3 linked regions of the Mus musculus genome follow. The protein of the gene in region 3 interacts with the protein of the main gene of each other region in a pairwise test. Links are inferred from orthologs where the notes say so. Each region holds a gene or a part of one and is shown on either strand. Other genes may lie near its edges. The genes, in order: Klc1, Ldlrap1 and Mapk8ip3.

Region 1 (3,644 bases), on a different chromosome or scaffold from region 3:
TGGTGTGCCGGTGCCAGTCTGGGCCTCGGTCTATAGCCCTGAGTGTTCTGCCTGTGCCACCGGAAGACATGCAGTGGAACTGGGATTGTTATTTAAGGTTTATGTGTTTCTGTGCATCACATGCACACCTGACGCTCACTGAAGCCAGAAGAAAACTTTGGATCTCCTAGAGCTGGAGTTAGAGTTGTGAGCCCCCATGTGGCTGCTGGGAATTGAACTTACATCTTCTGTAACAGCAGCCAGTGCTCTTAACTGCTGAGACATCTTTCTAGCTCCAGTAAACTTATTCTTGTTTTGAGATAGGATCCCCATGTGAAGTCGTGATTGTCCTGAAACTCACTCTGTAGACCAGGCTGGCATGAAACACACAGAGATCCACCTGCCTTTTCCTCCCAAGTGCTGGGACCAAAGGCGTGTGCCAGTGCACCTGAGAGTAACTTAATGTCAAACTGAAGCATCTCTAATGACAAGAGCACACCATCAGTGAATGCAGAGACTGCTGCACTCCCCTGCTACTCAGGACTTCCCTGGTCAACAGCAGGAAGGGCAAGGCTGAACACAGGAAGCCCCTTCCTGCCTTTCTGGGAGTTACTCTCAGTAAGCAGATAGTAAATAACATATCGCTGTGCTCGGTTCTCAAACCTTAAAATGATGTCATTCCCCGAGAGAGAGGGAGAGACAGAGACAGACAGACAGACAGACAGACAGACAGACAGAGAGACAGAGAAAAACTAAATTCAGTGAAGAAGTGCAGCTGCCTCTCACCTTCTCCCTGATCTCCAGGGCTCGTTTACACAGCGGCTCCGCCTCCTTGTACTTCCCTCGCTTACCGTACAGTACTGCTAGGTTGTTCAGAGTCGCTGCCACCTGCCAAGACAGAAGGCCACAAGGAGCCAGTGTAAGAGTGGCCATGAGGGGAGTCCCAGATCCTCCCACATGCATGGTGACACTCAGCAGATCAGAGGGACTCACTACAAAATGCACCACTGAAACTAAACAATCAACATGATCTTGATTCTTCAATTTCTCAAAGCCACAAAGGCAACCAAATCAGATCTCTGTACACATCTGAGCAGACACATAAGAAGACAGCACAGATTCTCAAGAACAAATCTAGAGGCCATGCGCCTTGATTTTGGATCAAAGTGAAGTGAGCCAGTGATCTGAGGAGGTGACTTAACAAATCAGAGGGGACCCGAAGGTGTGAGTGTCACTACCTGAGCAGGCCCTACCGGTACCATCTGGGACAAGGTGGCTCTCAGACCCTCCCCGTTGAGCTCGTCATTGGAATGAGCTGGACAAAAATGCATTGGGAAAATAAGCTGTAAAGGCCTGGAAGGAGGGGTATGTATACACACCGCGGGGTGATCTCTGCCCAGGGTTTTCTCGCGGATAGCCAGGGCGTCGTTCAGGAGGTTAGCTGCATCTTTATACTTGTTCTGATCCCTAAACCGAAACACACAGTCCTCGTTCAGCTGGAGGTCAGTCACGAACCCCACCAGTCTAGTTAGTTAGTTAGTTAGTTAGTTAGCCATTACTGATACTGAGGACTGAACGCCTGGGGTTCAGGCATACAAAGAATTTACTTCACCACAAAAGTCAGCCTGAACCTTTTTAAAATGCAATTTTGACTGCAGTGCTGGCCTTTCGAGGCAGTCCAGAGAAGTGGACAGACAGAGTCTATGGGTAGGTCATAGAGATTGTCTGCCAGCAGGAGTCAGCTGAAGCCAGAAGTCTGTAGAGACTCAGACCTGCCCTAGACCTGCTTAGTCAGGGGACCAAGGATCAGGCCCAGCACAGTGAGACTGAAGCCCACCAGGAAATTTAGATTAAAAGTGAAAATTTTAGAGCACTGTAAATCCCTACAGTAAAATTCCAAGGAGAGTGCAGAGGACTTTAAATATCCACTTAAGGAAAGGCACAGTGCAACACCTCACTCACTCCCTGACAGGAAGGAAGAAAGAACCTGCACTGCCCACGCAGGGGCACCGTGGCAGGAGCACAAAGGGCACCACCCCTCTACAGAGCAGCTGGGAGAACCAACAAAGCTTTAAAGAGAACCCATTTCAGGAGATTATCCTAAGGGGGGAATTTTTTATATTAAGTGTGTGAGTGTGTTTCCTGTAATTACACAGAAACACACAGGCCAAACACTCACATACATAAAATAAAACTGATTTTAAAGAAGTCGAAGTGACTGAGTTGGTCAGTGCAGAGGGCAAAATGGCTACTCAGGCAGAGCTGGCCCGGAGCTACAGAGAGCAAGCACCTGGCTGGTCCTGCGAGAGCCCTGCCACCAAGCTGGCTGAACATTCTAGATCAACTGCTGGCTGTTTGAAGCAGATAGGAAGGCTGGAAAGCTGTTTCATAGAGGCTTATGAAACACTCTGCCTCTCAGAAAGTTCAATGCAGTAACCCAAAGACTAGCCTGTACACCAGGGCCAAGATGTTGAGCATGGTAGCCACATCGGGGTGGTCGTGGCCGGAAGTCTTCTCCAGATCCTCCAGGGCCTGCTTGCAGAGTGGCACCGCCACCTCGTAACGCCCCTGTGAAGCATACTGGATCACCAAGTTGTGGAGCGTGCGCAGCCTTGCAGGGATCTCGTAGCCGCCCTGCTGGGCGGCGGCCGCAGCACTACTGTGCTGCTGCTGGACTGCAGAGAAGGTACATGGCCGTGGTTAGGACAGAGTGGCTAACACATGGACAGCACCCTAGTTCCAGTCAGTGCATATGCTAGCCCATAGTCTCCTGGGGACCCACGAGCAAGCCAAGAGAAACAGCCCGTGGGGAACAGTGTGCTGCGGACTGACACCACCACAGGATTCCTCCAAGGGAAGGCAGAAAGGGTAGGTCCTCTGACTTCTTTAACCCTGCAAAGACCCACGCCTATATACTAACTAACATCACACCACGCACTAACTACTGTAAAGTTTGGGAAAGACAGAGGCAATCTCCCAGCTATGGTGGCACACACCTATAATCCCAAAATTAGAGAGGATGAGGCAAAAGAACGGAGAGTCTCAGGTCTAGGGCTGGAAAGATAGTTCAGTGGTTAAGAGCACACACTTACTGCTCCTGCAAAGGACTGGGGTTCAGTTCCCAGCACGCACATGGCAGCTCACAACCAGCTGTAATTCCATTTCTAGGGGCTCTGCCACCCTCTTCTGACCTCTGTAGGCACCAGACACCCACCTAGTACATATACATACATGCAAATGAAACACTCATACACATAAAATAAAAATTTTTGATCTTTAAAAAAAAGGCCACCCTGGGCTACCATGTGAGACCTCATATATATATATATATATATATATATATATATATATATAATTCTCATGTGAGACCTTATATATATATAATTCTCACAAGCTAAGTATGCCAGGGCAGGACTGTCCTCAGAGAGGAAGCAGCCCCACACTACTCCACATTTAACGGCACGGTCACATCCTTGCTACTCACTTCCTTGTCCTGGTTCGTCCTCGTCATTTGGGAAGAGATCATCCAACGGCTCTTTGGAAGAATCAGAGTCTTTGTCCTCCTACAAGAGACCCAGAGCATCCTTCACTCTGTAGAACCCCCATGCCGCCTGCAAACCTCTTAACATAAAATTCCTTTTTACTTACTACAGACCAGACAAGAT
Region 2 (4,184 bases), on a different chromosome or scaffold from region 3:
GAGCTGAGATGCGATCTTTTGGCCAGTGGGGGTGGTGGCACACTCCTTTGTTCTCAGATCTCTGGAGGCAGAGGCAGGGAGATCCCAGAGTTTGAGGCCAGCCTGGCCTACAGAGTGAGTTCCAGGGCAGCCAGGGCTACATTGGGAAACCCTGTCTCATAAGGGGAAGTGGCCATGAGAAAGAAGAGTCCTCTTCCTAGGTGAGTGGGAAGCCAGCAGGTCGGTGCTTGGCAGCTCCAGCCAGGGTTCTCTTTCTCAGCAGGGGCTGATTCTACCCAGAATCCCTCATCTTTGCTTTGTCCTCTGAGCTTTTGTTTTGTTTTGTTTTGTTTTGTTTTTAATACTCATTATGTCTATGGAGAAGAGTCCCCGTGCATGTGTGGAGGTCACAATTCCTGGGAATCGGTTTTCTCCTTCCTCCAAATGGAGCCCAGGACTAGAACTCAGGTCCTCCCGCCTGAGAACAAGTCCCTTTTCCCATCTAACAGGCTCTGGCCTTTGATCTTAAACGCTAGACCCAAGGGCTGGATAGGTCCCAACCTCTCATGCTGGCCACACCCAAGGCTTTCCTGTCTAACCTGGTCCTGGGGGCCAGCTAGCCAAACCTGGGGTGGAGCTGCCCCCCAACAGCCAGAAAACCCAAGGAATAAGGCTAAGATCCCTGGGCTGGGGAAGCTCTGCCTCAGGCCATGCTCTAGGCCTAGAGTTAGGACTTCATTTCCCGGTCCTATCTCTAAAATGGGTCTGAAGATAAGAATCCCAAGCTTTGTCACCTCCCAGGAGCCAATGAGCTCACAGAAGTCAAATACCAGAGACAGAAGCAGGGGCATGCATTCACTGAGACCACCTCTAGGCAAGTAAGACAAGCACAGACACTCCCACAAAAGTTCCAGACCAAGCAATACTCTTCCCGGCAAAGGAATATTGCGAACTTGACACTTAACCAAAGATAGGCCAGGTTTCTGAGGAGCTCATTGTGAGCACAGAGCTTTGGGAGGAGCAGGGAGAGAGGAGAGCGCTGCATCCCTCCAGGGTACAGACAGGCTGAGGCCCCCATCTCAGAACTGGCCAACCTGATAAGAATCAGGTTGAATCCAGAGGACATGGACATAACTATATGGCGGTGCACACCTTTAATCCCAGCACTGGGGGATCAGAGGCTCAAAGCACACCTGGTCTACACAGCAAGTCCTAGGCCAGCCTAGACAACAAGAGACCTCATCACCAACCTGTAAAATAGACTAGCAACATCTTAACTGACACCTATCCCTGACCAGCCTCATTTAAACTCACTATCTGACACCTCATGACTGTGAACTTCTGATTTGTAGGCTTCCAACTCCCTAGTTCTGGGAGTACAGACACGAACCGCTACACCTGATTTGTTTAGTGCCGATACTGGAACCAAGAACTTAAAGTACCACGGGCTTCCTGCAAGCTAAGGCAAGCATCCTACCAAACACAACACACACATCCCCAGCCCCGCAGGAATTTTATCCCTATTTTCCAGGATAGGAAACAGAATCACTAAGAACAAGTGATCGGCCTTAAGGCTGGAGCTGGAAGGGAAACTTCTCACCATCCAAAATGTACCCTGATGCCCTAGATTCATCCCCTGCTTCCTGGCTCCCTCCCCTTCAGACCTCTTCCCCACCCACCCTTCTCTCTCTTGTCCCAGTAGAAAAACCACAGGGTTCGTCCACTGGAAGAGAAGGTCACACTCAGAAGCCCTGGTCACATCCCACGAATTTTTGAAGGGCTATTTTGGTAGTTAAGTGTGGAAGTCAGTACATGCCCTGCCCAAGGGGCCTCTGACCCCACCCCCGCCAGTAGGCACCAGCACGCGTTCCCGATGCCAGTCAGGGCTAGGAGGAGCCCACAACTGGAACACCACAGTGGGAATGAGGAGGGGCAGGGCGGGCTCCCGAGGCCCAGACACGCTGGCGCTCCAGGGACTAGGAAACTCGGGCTCCCCTGGTGGAGCCCGGCAAGGGAAGGTGCTGACGAGAAGCTGGGGGCGGGGAGGGGGTACTGTTAGTGGGAGAGGTGGGGGGCCCCAGGTAGGTGGCAGGTGAGGGTGTGCCGCGAGCCCGGGTACTTTGGCTTCACATCAGAAAGGGAAGGCCTGGGTGATCATCCCACGCGAATGAAAAGGGAGGAGGGACCTAAGCTAGGTTTCTCAGGCCTCGGGGGAGGGTGCCAGGTGACGGCTCTCCGAAAGTAACCCGAGAGGTGGCTGGGGGAGGCTCCTCTCCACCCTTCCAGACTCCCGGGAGAAATGGCAGCGAGTCTGAGTCTGCCTTTTGCCTAGGTGCCCAGGGACTCGGACCAGCCCCCAAGGAAAAGTACGGAGGAAAACAGGGTTTGTAAATAGCCTGGGCTCCAGCCTCGCCACCTGGACGCGTCCAGAGGGGAGGAAGCGGGACCCTGAATGGCACCCGGGCTGGGATCGCCCCTCGAGGCAGGGACCTGCGAAACTCCAGCGTCCAGAGGGGACCCTGTAGGTTGTGCTGGAGTGGGTAGAGAGGCTCTAGACGTCCCCTTCGCGCCACACCTGGGGACCCCGAGTTAAGCCTGATCCCTGTCGACCTGCCCCAGACGTGCAGCCGGACATGACCCCCGGCCCCGCCGCGCGGGGCGGGACGAAGCCACCCAGTCCACCTTGGCCCGGAGCTCGGCGGAGGCCCGACCCGGGGCGCATACACTCACTGCGGTGCCGGCCGCCCGCCCAGCTCTGCTTGGCCAGACTGGGGCTCCGGATTAGCGCGCGCCCCGCCGACTTGAGCGCGTCCATGGCCCGCTCCGGTTGTCGCCGCCGCCACTGACGCCGCTACCGCCGCCAAAACTCCTCCAGGAAAACTTTCCGCCGGGCCAGGCGGCGCGCGCCCGCTGCGCTCCTCCCCCGCCCTCCCCGCGACGTCTAGGGGCGGGGCCGGAGGGGCTACGCCCACCGCCACGCCCCTAGAGCGCAACCCCGCCCTTCCCGGACCTGGACCGGCTCCGAGGCTGCACGCGCGGTGTTCCTAAACTCAGAACCCACCAAGGCTCCCAGCCCAGCGCCTTTCCCCGTTCTCTAGCTACGGGATCCCATGGCCTTCTAGATAGCTCAGCTAAAAGGCACCTGGATACCGTTTCACCGATGGGAAGAGTGAAAGGTAGAACGATAAGGGTCTTGTTCAAAAATAAGAGAAAGAAAAAAACGATAGATGGGAAGGAGAGGGTCGAGTGGATAAAGGCACTTGCCGCCAAGCTTGACAATGATCCCGGAGACAACACGGTAGAAGAAGAGAATCAACTCCTGCAAATTGTCCTCTGACCTCCTGGCGCTAACAGTGGCACCTCCCCCATTGCTTACATACACAAAATAAATGTAAATAATTAAATAAATATGAGTGAGGGGCGCACCAAAGCAATGGGAGTCTTTGAACGAGGGAATGAAGGCCGCGAATTTTGCTGGGAAGGATCGGGAGTGTATTGGTAGATGCCCTTAGCAGCTTTCTTAGCTGTCCTCTGCCCCCACAGTCTCAGGGACATTGCAACCTTAGACGCAGACTCAGGCATGCTGTGTGACCCAGGCTGTCCTTCCCTGCTCTGAGTCATGATATCTGTCAAATGAAGCGTGATCCTATCTGTAGTGCACCCACCGGCCTGTCTGGGCAGGCCCTCGGTGTGTAGCCTTGCTCTAGCCTGTTTCCAAGGCAGCACCTGCTCCAGCCCCAGGAAGCTGGTAATTTAACTCTAGAGCCAGGAGCGATGGCTCAGACCGGTAATCATAGCGCTCATGGAGCTGAAGCAGGAGGATTCCTGCAAGTTCCAAGGCATCCTGGGGTATAGAGTGAAACTTTGTCTCAGAAAACCCAAATAACAAAGAATTCTAACTATTAAAAAAAAACCAAGAAAACAAAACAAAAAACCAAAAAACCCGCTAACCCTTGGTTCAGACTGTGCCCAAAGGAGTCTGGCGTTCACTACCTGGCTTCCAGAAGCTGGGCTTCAGCAGCGCAGCTGTGACCTCTGGCTAGTTTCAGAAGCCAGCAGATCTCTTCTGGCTGGGAGACACACATGCTGTGTGCTCTAGCTGCCCAAGGAGGCCTGGCTCACATTCCACTCTTTCTAAACCTCCTGTCTGTTCCAAGTGCTCCGCCTGAGTGGACAGTACAGCCAGCCATAGCCTCCTTTACAGC
Region 3 (3,644 bases):
TTGCCTGTTTCAGAGCATATCAGGGGGAAATCAAAGCCAGTGCCTGAACTTGGTATTGACATGAATCAGGGAGTCTCAGAACTTCCTAAGATCTAGCTTTGAATATGGCATCAATGGATAGTTATCCTCCCCTATAGCCCGCAGATCCATATCATGATAGTTCATTTCTAAGAGGAAACCACAAACTTGGAGAGGCAACTCTCATGGCCTGTAAATCAAGCTGTGACCGTGCTCTGGGATTCATTGCAAATCACTGGGCCTCTCCTATGAGCAGTCCTCCTGCTCCCTAATTTACTACATGATAAAAGGTATGCCTGGTTCTCCCAAGCCCTCTGTTACCAAGGGCAGTAGACAGTCCCATCGCTCCACAGGCCAGGAGGAAACCTGGACTATAGAGAGGCAGCAGTGGTATCTTAGATGCTGCAGCACCTGCTCCTGTCTCAGACTGATAGGGGAAAAGAGATGCACTGTCACCAGGGTGTGGTCACTTAACTGCAGAACCTGCAGGAAACTATCTAGAGACTTTATGTAGGATAAAACCACATTCTTGATCAACATACTGACCTTCTTCTTCTCAGGTGATGGGTGTGTGCTCTTGGGTTCGCCTTCTCCTTCCCGGTCACAGGTCAGAGGGTCTCGACCTGGTACAGGCTTGGGTCCATTGCTAGAGTCCTCTTCATGTGGCTTCCACCCACTCAGGTTGACACCAGCAGCACACCACAGCTGCGGGGACAAGGCTGTGAGGTCTCAGTGCATCAGCTTCTCTGGGGCCTCCCAGGGGCTACAGTAAAGACTACCCTTTGTCCAGGGTTTCCTTGGAGGCCTCTGATCAGGGTCCTTGGTGCTCACCTTTGTCGAAGGGTCCTTCTCCACCAGAGGGCGGCAGTACACAGGGACAGGCACATTTTTCATCCGGGTGTCTTCCTGGCCTCCATTGGGGCTCAGCTGCAACAGAGTGGGAAGTTCTGTGGTATGAGGCCAAGGAAGACACTTTAGCCTTCAGAAATCTCAATTAGTTGCCTGCGGGCTTCTGGTACACAGTGCACTGGGTCTGGCTCTGCTGGCCCTCTGTGCTGGTTAGTTTTTGCCAACCTGACATAAGCTAGAACCCCCTGGGAAGAGGGAATGTCAACTGAGGAACTGCCTCCATCAGACTGGTCCATAGGCATGTGTGTGGGAGGTGATCTTGGGATGTGTAAGAAAGCAAGTTGCATATGCAATGAAAAACAAGCCAGTAAATACTATTCCTCAGTGATTTCTGCTTCAGTTTCCCTTGATGGTGGAAGTTAAGTCAAATAATCCCATTCTTCACCCAGGCTGGTCTGCTCAGGGTTTTATCAGAGCAACAGAAAGCAAACTAGAAAACCCTCAGAGTCACAGATCCACCAACACCAGCTAGGAAATGGGTGCCTCCTGGCTCTGCACTACCACTGTGTCCTTCTCACATCCTCTCCATACCCAGAAACCACCCCCTGTCTCAAGTACCTGCTTGTACTTGGCAGGCAGGCTCCACCCACAGGCCTGCAGCCTCCCGTCATCATTGCGCACGTGTTCACGAACCTGGCGGTACTGCTCCCGCTTCTGCTCCCGCCGGGCAGAAGAGGTGCAGTCACTGGGTGAAAAAATGACAGGTTACATCTGTTCAAGGTGAGCTGTCGGGGTGAGGCTGGAGCACCCAGACTCTCACTGGTCTTCCTCAGAGCCTGCCTGATTCTACCCTTGCCTTTTCTGGGACAGGGGTAGTATTTGACAGAAGGTGGCTTTTCCCAATTATGTCTGGGGTGTGATCCTGTGCTTAAGAGGTCATTTCCAGCTGTTCTGGGGCCTGCTCTGTTGCTGGTCAGCAACTGTGTAACCTAGGTGAGTTTACCAGTAGTTTCTCACAAAAGTGGCCCCAAGAAGCTTAACTAAGTGTTTGGGGCAGTGCTCAGACGTTAAGGTCAGACACAGGAGGGAAGAGTATGATGGGACCCAGCACAGTCTTCAAAGTCTAAGAGAATGGTTTCTTGGAACTGCAGTCCCTGCTAAAAGTCATTCAGACAGAACCTGAGGACTAGTTTTTGCTGGGGGTAGTGGACATAGAGAGAAGGTGTCATCTTTCCTGCTCTTGATAACTTCTGTCCCACAGTACAGAATATTAAAAGTCTGCTCTCCAACTTCAAGCATAGAGTGGATAGACTCAGGACACTTGGGGGCTAGGGATACCTACTCATCAGGGAAGAACTCCAGGGGCCTGCTGCCGGCTGAGATCTGGCACAAAGCATGGCTGCGACGCTGGCTAAAGCCAGCTGCAGTGGGTGACTTGTAGTGAATGTTCACAGATGGGTAGGATCGTTTGGCCGGAGGGGGGCTAGATGAGGAGCTGAAGAGGCGACTAAAGCTGCCATGGAAACACAGATAAGTGAGCCAAGTGTGGAACAGTAGCAGGCTGACGAAAGCCTCTTCTTCCATAGAGCACCATACTCACAACTGCCAGATGGTGGACTTCTTCTTCTCCTGGACAGATGGGTGTTCCCTTGATGCTCTGCAGGGAAGAGTAAAGGAGGAGCTGTGCCGGGTGACCCTGGAGCCCCCAAACCATGCCAACACTCGGGGGAAAGGAAGTGTGGTGGAGGGCAGTCAAATCCCAAGGCCTGCTAAAATTCTACAACCCCAGCTCAGGAAAAATAGATCCAATCAGAGCCATGAACTTGCTCAGAACTGTCAGAGGAAATGCTGAGGGGCACACCTGATCATTTCAGTCCACCTCACAGCCTCCTGCAGCTCCATGAGGCGTTCCTTGTACTGGTTGCGTTCCATGAGCACTCGGGCCATCTCCACCCGTGTGAAGCGTCGGCGCTGGGCCATGGGGATTTTGTCCTGCAGAGGGGGGAAATGTGGTTCCTCCAATGAGAAACAGGAGGACAGTCAAGCATACGTGGCTTCCTTCTGAGGTGTCTACCCCCTAGATGGAGATATAGTTGGGACAAGTGATGGTGGAATGGCAGGTTAGAGTGCCAGGGGAGCCCACATGGGGTTTGCCACTCTTCTCTCCAAAGCCTGAACAGAACGAGCTTAAGGGAGTTGGGAGAAAGTGCACAGGAACAGGTCCTGCCTGCACACGGCCTCACTGGCCTCACCTACCTGCAATCTGCTTCTGCCAATGTACAGTAAAAGAAGGTGGAGGCCTGAACGAGCCACTCTTTCACACTCAAGTAGCCACAATCCACATTCCCACCTCTGCTAGACTATCCTACACTATGGAATCTCTACACTACGTCCCAGAGACTGAACAGATTGCTGCTCTGTCACAAAGGACCCAGTATGTTCTAAAGTTATTCTGGTACAGAGGGACAAACTGTGCTGCCCAGACCTCATTTTGGGAAGTGAGAGGAAGTGCAGGCTCAGGGTTTGGCTGCACTGCCCAGGCTGCAGGTGCATACCAGTAACATCTTTGGTAACAAAATACCCCTGCTGGGACTGCAGAAGGCATCAGTAAGAAGGGGAACAAATGTGACCCTTCCTCAGTTTGGGAGGTCAGGGGTGGGGGGAGGAAGGATCTGCCAAAGGAGTGGTCTGATGCTGTTAAGTCACTTGATGGAATGGGAGAACATGCAGTAGCTTTAGCGGTCACAAGTGAAAGGTAAGGAGGGCCCAGAAGAATA

Evidence for each region.
Region 1: the proteins of Mapk8ip3 (region 3) and Klc1 interact in binary tests that used the Homo sapiens proteins (3 or more experiments, as listed by UniProt). The link is inferred for Mus musculus from reciprocal best matches to the Homo sapiens genes MAPK8IP3 and KLC1.
Region 2: the proteins of Mapk8ip3 (region 3) and Ldlrap1 interact in binary tests that used the Homo sapiens proteins (3 or more experiments, as listed by UniProt). The two-hybrid records come from large-scale screens. The link is inferred for Mus musculus from reciprocal best matches to the Homo sapiens genes MAPK8IP3 and LDLRAP1.

The regions. Positions count from the first base shown.
Region 1 is NC_000078.6:111,775,822-111,779,465, reverse strand, and holds part of Klc1 (kinesin light chain 1), read right to left. Parts: intron 3,543-3,644; coding exon 3,464-3,542; intron 2,655-3,463; coding exon 2,429-2,654; intron 1,447-2,428; coding exon 1,359-1,446; coding exon of another isoform or gene 1,218-1,358; intron 868-1,217; coding exon 766-867; intron 1-765. UniProt on the Homo sapiens protein: Kinesin is a microtubule-associated force-producing protein that may play a role in organelle transport. The light chain may function in coupling of cargo to the heavy chain or in the modulation of its ATPase activity.
Region 2 is NC_000070.6:134,765,107-134,769,290, forward strand, and holds the start of Ldlrap1 (low density lipoprotein receptor adapter protein 1), read right to left. Parts: upstream 2,899-4,184; 5' UTR 2,795-2,898; coding exon 2,710-2,794; exon of another isoform or gene 2,704-2,709; intron 1-2,703. UniProt on the Homo sapiens protein: Adapter protein (clathrin-associated sorting protein (CLASP)) required for efficient endocytosis of the LDL receptor (LDLR) in polarized cells such as hepatocytes and lymphocytes, but not in non-polarized cells (fibroblasts).
Region 3 is NC_000083.6:24,902,440-24,906,083, forward strand, and holds part of Mapk8ip3 (C-Jun-amino-terminal kinase-interacting protein 3), read right to left. Parts: intron 2,860-3,644; coding exon 2,729-2,859; intron 2,525-2,728; coding exon 2,468-2,524; intron 2,381-2,467; coding exon 2,210-2,380; intron 1,613-2,209; coding exon 1,486-1,612; intron 946-1,485; coding exon 850-945; intron 724-849; coding exon 565-723; intron 5-564; coding exon 1-4.